Caenorhabditis elegans: one gene and its partner. The protein of the gene in region 1 interacts with the protein of each later gene in a pairwise test. Each region holds a gene or a part of one and is shown on either strand. Other genes may lie near its edges.

Evidence for each region.
Region 2: the proteins of T15H9.4 (region 1) and K12H4.7 interact in a two-hybrid assay, tested with the Caenorhabditis elegans proteins (one large-scale study listed by BioGRID).

What each region holds. Positions count from the first base shown.
Region 1 is NC_003280.10:9,608,957-9,616,370, reverse strand, and holds T15H9.4 (uncharacterized protein), read right to left. Parts: upstream 4,499-7,414; coding exon 3,929-4,498; intron 3,881-3,928; coding exon 3,726-3,880; intron 3,679-3,725; coding exon 3,554-3,678; intron 3,512-3,553; coding exon 3,405-3,511; intron 3,354-3,404; coding exon 3,126-3,353; intron 3,079-3,125; coding exon 2,968-3,078; 3' UTR 2,963-2,967; downstream 1-2,962. Other genes in the region: hal-3 (uncharacterized protein), read left to right, coding at 1-92, 144-368; hlh-6 (Helix-loop-helix protein 6), read left to right, coding at 1,559-1,769, 1,911-2,214, 2,259-2,357, 2,665-2,857; T15H9.5 (uncharacterized protein), read left to right, coding at 5,030-5,095, 5,151-5,351, 5,396-5,650; pap-2 (Poly(A) polymerase), read left to right, coding at 6,975-7,414.
Region 2 is NC_003281.10:8,046,702-8,055,038, forward strand, and holds K12H4.7 (Putative serine protease K12H4.7), read right to left. Parts: upstream 4,381-8,337; 5' UTR 4,340-4,380; coding exon 4,309-4,339; intron 3,793-4,308; coding exon 3,689-3,792; intron 3,641-3,688; coding exon 3,439-3,640; intron 3,396-3,438; coding exon 3,305-3,395; intron 3,260-3,304; coding exon 3,024-3,259; intron 2,977-3,023; coding exon 2,841-2,976; intron 2,575-2,840; coding exon 1,955-2,574; intron 1,906-1,954; coding exon 1,793-1,905; 3' UTR 1,749-1,792; downstream 1-1,748. Other genes in the region: K12H4.3 (Ribosome biogenesis protein BRX1 homolog), read left to right, coding at 1-37, 111-249, 303-526, 670-795; mals-1 (Mitochondrial Assembly of ribosomal Large Subunit), read left to right, coding at 1,012-1,296, 1,348-1,509, 1,554-1,679.

The DNA.
Region 1 (7,414 bases):
TGGAGTTGAGAGAGGACGAATATCTCGCTGATGATGCGGATTCCAATTTGCCTGATGAATTTTTGAAATTTAGCAAAATCAGCAAGTTATGTGTAAGTGGAGAGATTAGATAAACTTTCAACTACAAAATATGAACTTTACAGGCCGCTTCTCTCCAATCGTACGAAAATGTAAAAAAACGAAACGAAGAAATGCAAAAAGAGCTGATTGCCGAACGAAATCGGCAACGAAAGCTTCACGACGCGACAATGAAAATGATGGAAGAAAAGGAAAGGGTTCGAGTTGAACAGTTGGAAGATTTGTTCAAAGACTTCTCATTGGAACAACTTACACGGCTCAGGGATCGAATTCGTCAGGCACAAAAATAAAATTTTTTTTTTTTTCGTTTTGCCCTGTGATCTACTTTAAGTTTTTAGTATCGTGTTTTTAATGTGCCATATAAATTATAGCGTTGTGTGTCAGTATTTTATAAGTTTTCAGAAAAGGAACAGGATCAATGGGTTCCTGTAACTGACTGATCTTATTTTTATTTTCATCGAAAGTTCCTATTTATAAAGTATTCAGTAATTTTAAAATTTTGATTCTCAGCATCGACAAATTTGAAGAAAGCAGACACTTAAAAAATTCTGAAAAGTATTTTTTTAAAGTTAAGACAATTCGCATTGAGAAATAATATACATATTGGCCAGGCGCGAAGTTTTATGCCAAAAATACGGTACACGGTCTCGACACACATTTTTTTGTTGAATGCGAGAGGTGTGCTCCTTTAAAGAGTACTGTAATTTAAAACTTTCGTTTCAGCGCAGCTTTCAAGCTTTCATCGATTTTTAAGTTTTTTTACAATTAAAAAAAAATATTTATTTATATTTTTACAATTCAAATGTAACAACAAAAAATATATACATTTTGTCAAATCACGAGGAAAACTGTATTACTCTTTAAAGGCGCACATCTACTCGCATCTAACAAAAATGTGCCGTTCCGAGACCAGGTACCGTATTTTCGGGTAGGAGAGGTAATAAAGGGTTAGTCGTGCCAGGACCTTTCGAAATTTTATATGAAAACTAGTTTTTCCCACTGAAATCACCTACAATGATGAAAAATTGCAATCTTTTCGTATATTCTGATGATGTGCAGGTGTTAATTATGGGAAATTACCATATTCAATCAAAACAAAAAATGATTGATTATCATATAGCTCGCATACCAAACATCTGCTTCAGTATTTACTCAAGAAATATACCTAGAAAATGACACTGTAAATATAATACAAAATTCATTTCGGAAATTCTGTTTTTGCGGGTTTTTTTTTCCAATATCGATGTTTCCCAATTGCCCTCAATAAATAATGTCGGAAGCCGACAAATGATGTGCTCATTGTGCAAAACCACATTTCGGTGGCTAACAAATAAATATCATGCATGGATCGCCTTTTTCGGGTTGGCTCCCCGATTGTTTGCACAGCTTATATTTACTGTAGGCCCCGCCCACATTTTACTGTTTAGGTTGTCCCTGTGGATAGTCAGTTATAGATAACCTGCTTAGAATAGTTCAAAAAATGTCAATTTCCCAAAACAACTTTTTGACCATGTTCCCTGTAACTTATACATTTGAGAATGGGGTCTACTCGACTATTATCAACCAGAATACTATTCAAACCCCGATTCCAAATCCGATTCAACATCATATTCAAAATCATATTCAAACTTCAATTCCAAATACAAATCTTCTACTGGAAAATGTTCAAACCGATGTACAAAAACTAATGGGTGAGTGAATGTTTTATATTGCACCCGATTATTCAAAGGTGACAGCTTATATCTCTAAAAATCTAAAAATTATCCAAATGGAAACTAACTCCAATAAATGTATTATGTATGTACTTATATCATTTTTTGAATATATTACAGTACCACTAATCGATCAGCAATTCCACATTCCAACTTCCACCCCACTCCAACTTGCACCAATCCCGACTCAAATTCAATCTCAACTTCAACCACAAATATCTCAAATACCTATTCACAATCAACCACAAATTCAAATTCAAAGCCAAGTTCAACCTCAACTTCCCACTCAAAGTCAGCCAAAACCTTCTTCTAAAGCGTCATTGGACACTAGCTCAAACGCCTTTAAGAAATATGTGAACCCATTTGCACCTGAAGCTACAGTACCCCTGCCTGTTGAACTTGAAGATCAATACGGACCATATAGGTAAGATCATGCTTTTATTAAAGTTTGAAAATTTTAATTTTCAGCTCATCAGTTTGGAAACGAAACGAACGTGAGCGATGTCGAGTGAGAAATGTGAATGATGGTTATGAGAGACTGAGAAAACATCTTCCAGTTCATTTTGAGTAAGTTTCAATGATTTTCTAAAAAATTAAAAAAATGCTTCTGGAAATTGTAGGGAAGTTGTAGATGAGAAAATTCATTTAGAGTAAAGTTTACCTCAAATTTACCTTGAAATGCTATTAAATCCCGAAGGAAACTCGGGAATCCCCGTGACAGCTATCTGGCAGCAACTCATGCAAAAGGCTACTATTATAATGCCAAGTATTTCCAAGATTTTGCTACCAAAATTTGGCTAGTGACACGTACCTATCAAAACATTTAATCAATAATTATCTTCCTATAGATACAGTTGACAATAATATTTTCCAGTGAAAAGCGAATCTCAAAAGTTGACACTCTCCGGCTTGCAATCCGTTATATCAAACATTTGGATAACTTATTGAGGAGCGAGCTTCATCAGTATAACTGCAAGTGCTTCAATGGATTCCAAGAGGAGTCCGAAGGAAATATTTTAATCGATATTTCTACGTTTAATTTTAATTCGAGTAATAATGCTATGTGAGCGGATTGTTATTTGGAATACGAAATAAATTAATAAATAGTGGATAATAACTGTCAAGTTCTAGAAAACACAGAAACATGTAAAAACGATTTATTCACACATATCTCTGCCTAATTGAACTTTTTCTTAATGTATGCAGCAATTCCAGACATAGGCTCGCATTTCTTCAGGTCATCCTCTTCAGGAATATCCGATGTGATCTTTTCGTGGTCGGGCTGCTCCTGTAAATTAATATTTTTATTCACAATTTTTGAAAAACTTAACCTACCGCAAAATTGATAGCCGAATTCCTGTCCTGTTGTCTAAAAATGCTTCGCTTCTTTGGAGTGCTTACAAGAATCGCAACAGCAGCAGTTGTGCTTAACGGGAAGTAAACCGATCGCTCGATTGCATTTGTTGTGGATTTGGCCTTCACTAATGGAGGTGGGCATCCTTCGGCAGAGCCAGGCGCAGTTGGTGGATCGATCATGAGAGTAGGCCCCTTGTCGCACGGTGGCTGGAAATAATAATTGTATTTTTAGAAAACGTATTCACTATTTAAGCTTACAACTTCAGTGGAACTTTCTACAATCCATTGCTTCAAGCATGCCAACTCCCGCAATGCAATCTCCAAAGCATCGGAATGCAATGGAAGACTGTTTGTTTCACTGGAGTCTGAAATTATAAAGTTCTCAGAAGAAAACCATTTTCAAAAACCTTTCTTCTCAATTCTTGTTCCTTTCTCTACTCCAACTGCATAGTTCGCAAACTTCTCGGACAGTTCCGCCTCCAAACTTGGTGCTGGGGAGCTTCGAGCGATGACTTGACGGCAAGCAATGATTCTAAAATTATTCAGATTTCCGATTTTCAAAAAAAATCTAGAAAATACTCTGCGAATCCTTGTTTCTTGATGCTCTTCTTCATTACTTCTGCTACTTGCTTTCTCAAAGCTCTCTTGCTTTTTGCAGTCAGAAGCTCGTCATTTATCCCCAAGATTTGATCTCCAACGAGTAGAGCTGAATTGACTGGGGTCTTGGCACGAATCTAGAAAATTAAAAATTAAATCGAAAAGGTATATATTGAAATGCTTACAAGTTCCACGAGCACTCGTTTCTTGTCCAAACACAACTTCAATCCAATAGTTCCTTTTGATGAGTAAACTTTTACAGAAAAGTAATGAAGTTGCTCTTCTGGTGGAACAAGAAGCTTATCCAACTGAATGTCAGTAAGGCATTTCAAATTCCACACACGGATTACTGTAACTTCAGTTTTTGTTTCCTTCTTCGGACCGCGAACTTGGTTTTCAAGATCATCAGAATTCCAAATGGCAGTTCCATTAACAAGTGATATCTGATCTCCTGGCATGAAACTAGACATCAACCACCTCCCAACTTTCACGATAACTATGTTCCTGTTGACTTGAATAATGTCTCGAAACTTCTCCCAGGCATCTGGCTCAACCGTCACTACGACAGGAATAAAGTGAGTTGGTGGGGCTTCTGGTACAGACTCTTTGGTAATGCTGGCACTGGATGCAGTTGCACGGATACTGATAATCTTATCTTCTTCTTCATTATTGCCATTATCACTTGGTTCACAAGGACCAGCAACTTCTTGAATTCTTGGATCGATGAAAACGCTATTCTTTCTTTTCAGCTGCATTTAAAGAGATATGGGTAAACTTTCAAAATCATTTAAATGTTTTCAACTTACCGAAACTTTCTTAGCTGACGCCTGCTTCTTGTTAGACGGTGATGTTTTTGGTAACGAACTTTGCGATTTCTTCAGTGAGTTTTTTGATTCTTATTTTCCTTTTTGCAACTCCTGACATGTTCGAAAATGGTGACTTTTCAGGGAGAATAAATAGAAATAAATAGAATACGGGCGGCACAGGCGGCGTTGATGAATTGTTGAAAATAAAATAAAGAAAAGTTCACGTTCAGATATTTTTTGAATTATTTCTTGAAATAATATATTTAAAATTCAAACCGTGAGCTCTACGAAAAATTTTTAAAAAATTAACAGATCTTTATCAATTATCAATAAGTAACTTCAACACAAAAATGAATCATTTCCATATAACATTTTATAATTTTCGATCGAATGGTTCGATTAGAAATCGAATTATTAAGCGAATGCTTATGGCGAACACTTTCCGCTACAGTAATCCTACTGTTCACATCGATTTCCGTGATGCTCTGTGCCAAAAATAAAAAGGATCCGAAGCCACCACCAGCATCGTTTTCAGAGACTTCAAAAGTTAGTTTAACATTGAAAATGAAATTTTGTAGCTTGAATATTTGTGGCAATTCAGGTTCAAAATGTCCAGAACACACAACCGAAACCTGCAGCACCATCACAAATGTCGATTGATGAATCCCACTCGAAGAATCAAAAACTACCGTCTGCTGAGAAATCTGTGGAAGAATGTAAGAAGCCAGTTTCGCCTGAAAAGAAAAAGTCGCCGATAAAGGTTTTGAGTGAGAAGAAATTGAAATCGAAGAAAAAGGAGGAGGTAAGAGTTTGGAAAATTGTTTTTTTTTAAATTTCGATTCTTAGGACAAGGAACCGGACGAAAAAGTGGAGAAAGATGTGAAAAAGGAAGTCAAGGCTGATAACAACGAACCTCTTGTAAAGAATCTGAAAATTGCGAAGAAAGAGCAAGAAGAGGAAAATCCGAAGACAGACTTGGAGTCTCATAAAGATGAAGCTGAAGCCAAGAAGAAAGAATCAAGACGGCAAAAGAAGATGAGGAATAAGAATTCAAAGGAGGGAAGTGTGGAAAAAATGGAGAAGTCTGAAAAAGCTTATTGATTTCTTTTTGTCATTTTCTCTTCTAAATAAAGTATCGAAAATCAATGTATTTGAAAACAAAAAAATATATATATAAAGTTCACTTTTTTGCCATCAGAAAATAATCGATTGATAACAAAAACGCTGCGTTCGTAGACTGAAGATGTGATGAGTTGTGTGCCATCCATGTCATTTGTGTCTCCTAGCCTTCTACCGGATTGTCGGATTTCTTTTGCTGCTCTGTCACTATTTTTTAAACAATTTGTTGTTAGTTTTTCTATAGTTTTGAAATTAAATATTGTTGGTTAACGTGTTGCGTTTCTAAAATTATGTTAATAAAATTTAAAACCTTTAGCATACCCTTTCCGAATGGATTAGTTTAGGTCTTTTTTATTCCGAGAGGTTTTAATTTTCAGTGTCGATTTTCAAAACACAGTTTTTGTTCCAAAAAATCCTTTTGTAATTCGACTATCTAACTTACCCTTTTATACATTTCTTGTTACTTATTTGAATCAAGTATTTTTTGTCACTATTTTTACCTATGAAATTTAAAAATAGCTTTCACTTTAGTTAGAAACTCATTTGTGCTGGTATATGTTATGATAATTTCCTCACTCAACATAATTCGAACGTTTTTTTTTCAAAACTCAGTTTTCTTTTACTGTTCCAAATTCTGATACCTGTCAAATAATTTTTTAAAAAACGAGTTGTTGGATATCCATCCGGATACAGGCCAATAATATAGAGCTCACACTTTTTTGCCATGAGAAAATATAATAATCGATTGACATCAAAAACGCTGCGTTACAAACACAAGACTGAAGATCTATATAGATGAGATGTGCTCTCTGTGTCATTTGTGCCTCCTAGCCTTTTACCGGATGGTCGTCTGGTTATACAGATTATTTGTTTTTTTTAGTTGTTATTTTTTCTAGAGTTTCGTTGTCAAAGTCTATTAAAATCGAATTATCGCCTATTAGAAAATTGTTTAAAGTCACTATGGTCCAAAAAAAAAGTAAAACTTCAAAAATTGGTTGAACCTTTTTAAATTACAATTATAAAGTGACAACTGTTTTTCAAATTGAAAAATGGCAACTTTTTTTAAAATTTTTAATTATTATAATGAATTATGCTGGACTGTTTTGAGTGCACTGAAAAAAAGCCCAATTTCGATAATTAATCCTCAACATTTAATCATTATAACTTTAAGCTTCGTTTTGGTCATAATTTTCCATTAATTACCGGCTCGTTTATTACTCTTGAAAATCATTTAATGCCCTCTTCCTTACTAACCTTTTATATTTTTAGATACTCTCACTAACGATCTATCTCCAACTCTTGTAAAATGCAATCTGTGAATAATGCAACCTCTTCCACGCCAATCTTCGGAGTTTCTCAACCGATCTCCACAGCTTTCCCAAAGGCCAATGACGTTGCGTTGACGAGCTCTCTGCAATCTTCTCTCGAGGAATTCAAAAGTTTCGAGTCAAAACAAGAAACTCTTCTAAGAATCAAAGTTTTAAAAAATCTTGATGGATTGGTGAAGGATTGGGTCCAGAAGACTACCATTTCAAGGATTCCAAAGGATCAAATGTTCAATGCTGGTGGAAAGCTAATTCCATTTGGATCTTATCGACTTGGAGTACACAGCAGTGGAGCGGATATCGACAGTATTGTAGTTGCACCGAGGCATATCACCCGATCCGATTTCTTCAATTCATTCAAGGATATTCTTGCGAAGAATCCAGAAGTCACAGAGTTATGTGCAGTCGAAAAGGCATTTGT
Region 2 (8,337 bases), on another chromosome or scaffold:
ACCACAATTGAAGCTTATCAAGGCCGTGCTTATGCAGGTAATTTTGTAAAAATTGAATTTGAATAAATATTTTGTTAGAAAAAATTATAATTTTCACAAAATAATTTCAGACTCTTGGAACACCACATCATCATCCACGCAGTCAGCCATTTGTGGATCACGTCTTTAATTTTTCTGTTGGAGAAGGTGATAAAATCTGGTTCCGCAATTTTCAAATTGTTGATGAGAGTCTTCAACTTCAGGAAGTTGGTGAGTATATAGTTTGAATACTTTTTATTTACATGCACAACATTTTTCTTCAGGACCACGCTTCGTTTTGGAAATGGTTCGTTTGTTCGCTGGCTCATTCGAAGGAGCCGTACTGTACGACAACCCAAACTACGTCTCTCCAAATGTGATCCGCCGTGAACACCGTAAAGGACAACATTCGTATATCGAGAAACAGTTGGCTGTGAAAGCATCAAATATCAAACAAGCTAAAGTCACAGAAATTCTCGCTGAAAAGACTGTTGATTTGGTTGGAAAGGTACGATTTTGAAAATAAAAAACATGAAATTAAAATCAAATTTGACAAAATACAGTCATAATATTTACTATAAAATTATTATACAATTATTTCCAAGTACCACAATCGATTTGAACGAGTTTTTAATTTATCTTCCTTTCCAGGAATTCGATACACAAAACAATGCCGCTGCTGACTCAGAGGCTGCTGCTCAGATCACTGCTCAAATTGAGAAACGTCGTGTTCGCAAGAAGAAGAGCCAAGCATCAAAGTACACTGGATCCGATTAATTTTTGTTGAATTTATCACATTTTTGTTGTTATTGTTGATTTTTTATCTCAAGCTACTCTGTTGTTTCTTACTCTGATCTTTTTATGCCTTTTTTGAATAAAAAATTATCAAAGCGAAATTCAATTGTTTTTTTCTAAATATGTGTCAAAACCAACTCAAATTTATTATTTTTCTAATTTCTCGAGATGCTTTTGTCAAGAATATGTCGTTTCAGAATGCTTACACGATTCACACGACTTCGTCCAATTCTACAGTTACGATATCTTGCTCAAAATTCGCATATCGAAGAGGAATATTTCGAAGAATTAGAGCCAACTGGAATCATTTCCAGTCACGAAACAAGTCAAGAACCTCCAAAACGGACAGGATTCAGAAGCCAGAATTTGTCAGAAGACGCTGATTTTGTAGAGAATGTGGTCGGAGCTTTGACTGATCAAAGAGCAAAAGATGTATTTGTTGTAAAATCAGAAGAAACAGAAATGACACCGTATACACATAAGGTAATTAATCCTCGTAATTCAGTAAGGAGAAAATTAATCTCATATTTTCAGATAATTTGCTCAGCATTCAATTCGCGACAAGCTTCAGCAATTTCTGAAAATCTTCGATCTCTTCTAAAAATTGACGGAGTGTCGAATGGATCCATGTCACATGCACGAAGGAGCACAAAACGAAGCAATGGATGGTATGTCAGTGAGGTGGAAAGAGTTCAGGTATTACTTCCTACATATTATATTTTTTAATGCCTATACTTCAGGTGCACGTAATGAGTGAAGAATGCCGTGAGAAGTACGATTTGGAAGCAATTTGGGCTGGCGATGATCGGATCTTAGACGAGATTGATGAGGAGAAACAGAAGATTTTGCTGCCACCGAGACGATAATGTTTTCCTTTTGTTATTTATAACATTTAGATTATTGTTATTATTTTTGTAATATCGTTGATATGAAATATTAGAGTCAAATTTTCATTTCTATAACATAAAATCCATAACAATTAATTAGCATGAAGCCATCCATCAAGAACATCCGAGATTCTTTGGCGGGCGTTTGTCAAGTACATACTATCCAAGCTGGATGCTCCGTACATGTCAGCACAATGGGCGGTTCCTGGAATTAATGTAATTATACTATTTTTGTACATAAAGTTCAAGATTACCATTGATCACAACTGGCACAATATTGCTGTTCGAGCTTGTCAATTTTCCAAGTGCATGCCATGGATCAATATCTCCATTTGGTAGAAGAATTCTGTCAGTGTTCAAATTATCTCTTCCTCCATAATATTGATTAGTGTAATCTACAGATGTCTGAACTTCTTGACTATTGTATGCAGCTCCATAGATAGCAGTACATTCATCAATATAATATTGAGCTGGAAGATTGCTTACACCTCCGAACCATGGTCCAGCAGTAGCTGATGAAGTTGATTGATAATATCCGAACTCAGTGCAAGTCTGCCAAACCCATGCTCTGTCAGATTGAGCCTCTCCGAATGTTTCATCTTTCATGAAAGAAATGAAACCATTGTAATCAATATCATTGCATCCGAAATATCCACTGACTTGGTTAAAATAGTCATTGACTTGTTTCAATTTCTGAAGTGGTGTTGATTTAGTGTTAATGTGATAACGGCAAATGGCATGAGAAATTGTGAGTTGAGTGGCAAACGATCCAGCGGCATCACCAGAATATTGAACAACCTCCATGTATGGAGAATATACTGTTTCCCAGAAATACTTGAGTGATTTATCGTCCATTTGAATGTCTTGGCAGAGACTGAAAAATTGTTGCTTATTTTACAATATATATTTCAATTTGACGCATTGAATGAACACGCCAAGTTATACGCACTTCTCAAAACATTTGTGACTAGAATAGCTGACAAAGGAACTATGTAGAGACTGGAACTTCCAGAGAAAAGTTTCAAAAAAGTTAGAGCGGTTAATTCAGTTTGAAACGCGCAGGAATGGGGGGAATACAGAAGGTTCACTCGAGGTTTTTGGCTTTGGCTAACTAGTAAGCATACATCATAATAAACTCACTGGAAAGCAGTTTTCAATTGTTTGCGTCCATCGGAAGTTTGAAGAAGAGAAGCAACCAAGTTGAATCCTTGGGTCACACTGGCGGCACACTCAGTTGAGTTACGGGTAATTGAGTTTTGTACAACCTCAAGATACTCTGAAATAGAAAGTAATTGGAAGTAAATTGCTGCGTATCTTTTTAACCTTTGAAGTCAACCTCGGCTTGAACTGGACCACTGGATCCAACAGCAGCATACACCAATTCTGGATGCTTTGCACGAGTCCATGCGGCCAAAGCTCCAGAGTAGGATCCTCCGAAAGTGACCCACTTGGCATTGGCCAATTGTGGGAACTTGGCGGTCATTGCCTTAATGAAAGCGGCGGCATCCTCAATAGCTTGGGCAGAAGACAAGTATTTCAGGTTTGGTACGGACATGTCGCTGGAAAACATTAATAATAGGGAGTTATTTCGTAAAAAGAAATACCTGGTTGGGTGAGTCTCTCCATAGAATCTGTGCTCAATATCAAAGACCCAGGCTCCTTGTTTGGCAGCCAAGTTGGTGATTTCAAGTCCAGCTTTAAAAATAAAATGTCTTGTATGATAAAAAAGTAAACTAACGATAAGAAACCCAATAACTAGACTCTGGTCCTTCTCCTCCAAGCATCAAGAAAGCTGGTCCTCCAGCCTTGTACCATTGGTTGTTATGATAATATCTCTGCTGGAAAGTCTTTCCGACGGAAGAATCAAAATGATCAAGAGTTTGAGTGAAAGTAGATGAGACTACATTGTCAAAGTTGATCATATGAGAAACGGAAGACATCTGGAATAGACTTTTTTTGTTCTGTACATTGGATGTTTGAACACTTACTGGTGGAGTCTTCTTCATTCCTCCACGTGGACGTCCACGGATCATGTTACGACGAACACGCTGCTCATTGCTTGGAGCAGACAATACCTGGGTCAGCACACATGCTGAAATGTTAAGTTATTCAGTGTGAAACTACAGAAACTATGGTAAACATAGAACTGAACTTAAAATTTATTAATTCGATGGTAAATAATGTTATCAGTTTTGAAACCTTAGTTTTTAGACAGTTGCTCGTCTCGATAAAAATGAATCCACGAATTATAAATTTTGTGTATTTCGTTGTAAAGATTAGTAGAAAATTCTTTTGAAAGATTCAACAATACAACATTTGAGAACATTGGCTAGACTAGATCTAGGTCTAGATAGAGTATATTCCCGTCGAAAACAGTTTCCAGATTCCTTATTTCCAGAAAAATATGTGAGACTTCATAATTTGTTTTTTTAGATTTTGAGTAATAAAAATATGTTCTGGCCATATAGCCTAATGGTCACGAATTTTAGAAAAAAACGACTCATGAAATTTACGGAACTGGCATTGAATCTGGGCAACTTCACTTTTAAGCTCCTCAAAGAGAAAGTAGCTACAGAAATTCTAAAACGATGTTTAAAATTAAATTTACCTGCCAGTAGCACTGCCAAAAGAGTCTTCATGTTTCCACTTTCTAGAATAAAAAGAAAAAGTGAAATAAAGCAAGAGTTTTCAGTTGATAAGCACCCACTTATACACTTTTCCTTATCAAATAATTTATCGCTGATTTGCGAGTTCAATTCCGTTTTCGCTATCACATTTAAATGATGATTTTACTGATTCGTGGCACAACTACATTCGAAATACTAAATCATCTTTTAGACTGACGTACTTGCAAACTGGGTTCTTAGTTTACAGGAATACTGGGCCAAAGTTTGAAAAATAAAATAACAAAGCCAATTTCAGAGAAACTGCAAAGATCAATAAAAAGTTGGAATTCGAAACGTTTAATTGTTTACTGGAACTATCAAATTGAATATAATCTTTTCAAAAATAAAATTTCCATATTCATAACATCATACCTAAGCATTTTCTGTCAGGATATGGAAGAAAATAAAAGGAAAAGTTGGTTGAATAAATAAATTACTAATAGAGGAAATACGGTATTCTTCGAAAAACACTTGCAACAAGCCAGTCATCATTTCAAATTTTTTTAAAATTCCGTTTCTCCATTCCATCATTTTCCATAAATATGTGCACTGAACTGTTTTACCTGCTCTCACTTGACTTCTTCTTCTATTCTACCTTCTTCAATCTTATTTCTTTTCCGTTGTTCGCAAACACTAGCCACATCACGCCTCCCGGTTGAGGAGATGAGAGGTAGGTGCTCATCTATTCAATACTCCGTTTTTCAAGTTTTAAATCGAGACATTTGTTCAAAATTGGTGAATTAAGGTCTCGCTATGTTCTCGCAAGTTCCAATTTTTATTGATTTGATTTCTCATCACGATCGTAGGTGCTAAAAATTTGTCAAGAATTCTCACAGAAATCTAAACTCTAAAAATATTATTTCCCTCTATAATTTGCTAGCTTTCAAACGTTTATTTCTACATATTGAATTTAATTCTAAATTTCCAAATTACGTGAATGCTGCCTAAAGTCTCGATTACGCAATAGTTACATAACCAAAGATGTGTCTTGACACTCCTTCAACTTTTTTTCCCAAAATTCTCGAGGTAAAAAAGTGAAAAAAAGGGCAGTTAGAGACCACCTGGGTGTTGATGCAAGTCTTGCGTTGTGTCTTTTTTATACATTGAAATTTGGAAAAAAAATGCTTGAGAAATGAAATTATGGTAGAATACGGTAGAACTTGTATTTCCAAACTGTGAACGTGATGCATTTCTTGTTGGAATCCTTAGAGAATACGATATATTAGCAAACATCAAGAATCTTCCATTTTCCTTTTTCTTTCAAACTTTCGATTCCGTTAGCCATAACTTGCAATACGAGACAGTTCAAAAAGAGAAAAAACATTGAAAAACCATAGCATCTTCATAAAAAGTGCAATTAAATATATTGAGTAACCGTCTAAATGGTCATCTAGTTTTGTTCCGCCGTCACGCAACTATTAAATTCTCCATCTTTAGCCAATTATTATTATTCTTGGGTGTTATGCAACTTTTCTATTCGTACAGATTTTTCTTCATTTGGTTTTGGTTTTTAATATTCTTTTTTTTTGTTTTTTAACGTGTTAAAAAATTGTGAAAATGATTACAAAATATCAAACTAAATATTTTCCAATTTCGAAAAAATCCACACACATGTATTTATCGAATTCTATTCAAACATAAATTTCCCACTATTTTTTTGTCCAAAACAGAAAGAGTGGAATGTGTAAGATACAACTCAGTTTTTCACAAGTATCCAATCCAATTATGTGCACAGTCTCGAGTTTTAATGGTATGGGAACTTGGGATTTGAGATAATAAAAATAGTTGGTTACGGTGGTTGATGAGAATTTTTATTTGTTGCTGCATTGAGACTAAGAGAGTTGGATATCACGTGATTTCTCAATTTTCATAATTATCTACTATTGTATAAGTTGCTGGAAAATTTTTGACAAAATAATTGTTTTATGAACACTTACCGAAGGGGTTTTTATGGAGATTTGATTTTTCAACTTCTCAATTTCACAAATTTTCAGAAATATGTGTGGCCAAAGTATACATTTTCGGGGTTTCTTTTTTGTAATATTATGTGAGGTTTTGCCGACTGAGCAGTTCAAAAATTGCAGTTTGCGGTTAAATAAAAATAAGTTATCTTTGAACTTTGTTAGGAATTTTCAACGTTTTAGAAAATTATAGAAAAGTTGTGTATTTGCTCATTCAATCAAAAATATCCTAATTTTATTTGATCAGAAACTATTTGAAAATCTGAAAAATCAGAAAGGCTAATAAATTTCAGTTTTTGCACTGTTTCTGCTAATGAAAACGTTTCAATTCTTTTTGTCGGGTGTTGCCATCCCTACACCTGATCATATTTTCTAAGAAAATTCAAACAAAGAAAGAAAAATTGATTTTCCGGTTGACCTGTAGTATCTTCTCTTGTTTAACACATCCTCCTCTCATACCTGTTACAAATGGTAATTAGCTCTTGAGACATGGAGACAATACTGTCGGGATGCATGCTCCCTCTTGTGAATACATAATTATTCTCACTCTTTTCTGAAGGAGCATTGGATCTATTGTACTTGATACGATTAGCTACTTCCGGTCTCGCTTTTGAACTTTTTTCGGCGAAACCATCGGTATTGTCTTGAGAGTTTGATACATTTGAATGGGTCTAGTGGGTTACTGTAGAAAGTTGATTCGTTTGAATGGACCATTTGGCATCGAAAAATGAATATTGCAATATCAGTAAGGAAGTTTAAAAAAAACCAGTGCTAAAATTAGCAAAAATCATTGTAAAAACTTTCACTTCACATATTGTAGTCTTGAACGTAATTTATTTGTTCTTCTTTATATTTTTATTTGGATCAATTATTTGTTTTTAAACATTGTACTTGGCAGCGATGCTTGAAATTATTCAAAAAGTTTAACGTTTTAGGAAATTGGCTGTTCACAAAACTTTGTCTGAAAATTATGAACACATATTGCTCAAAAACATATAACTCAAAATGAATTTCGAATTTCTTTAAAAAATTTATCAAATTTTAAATTAGGCAAACGAGAATAATGCTTCTACATCTTTTTTAACCACGAGACATCTATTTCTCTCGGTGGATAAAATAATCTCATAATTGCTCATTTGATCTTTCCAATAGACAAAGTGTGCATTTTGGTCATTTTTCAAAAACAAAGGAGCAGAAGGTACACCTGTATAAGGGATCAAACAGTTGATATTGGTATTGTGGTAAACTTTTTTAAAAATATTAAAACGGTTGAAAATGGCTGAAGAAGCCACAATACCTCAATAATATCAATTGTTTGACCATTTATACAGGCGTCACAATATTTAGATTATCAACCTTCAAACTAAATTTAAGCGACCGTTAAAATGCAATATTTTTCTGTTAATAGTGAATAAATTATCAACAAGTAAATTACTTTTAAATTTTACAATATGTTGAGTGAAGCTAACCAATTTCAAAAATTGCCTATAATTTACTACATTACTGCCAAAATCAGCAAATAAAGTTTTACATGATACAATAATACGTATTCAAACTCTTAGAAGTTACGGCTAAGAAATAAAGCTTCTGAATTTGATGGCTACCCATCTTCCTTTCTATTTCTCGTCATTTCTTAATTTATTTTGAAGATTATGTTTTCTTTTAATATCTGAGATTGATATTCCTGCAATTGACATCTCCTTATTCTTGTTAATAGTTACAACAGAGGCAAATATTGAATAAAATCTTTTTCTTCTTGGAACTATTTACTAGTTGTTCTTGTATTCTTTAATTTCTTCTGATAATTTTTGAAAGAAAAAACAAAGATTCCTCGAAGTTGGGGACTTAAACTTAACATTTGAATCGGGGAATTTTAATTTGCCTTTTATATATATATTTTTTCGTAGTTTTGTAAAACCTGGTAATTTCTCATTGTTGAAAGTTGAAAACATGCGATGTGCAATAATTTTTACAAATGCACAGTCAATCACTGCTTTTTAGAAACATTTC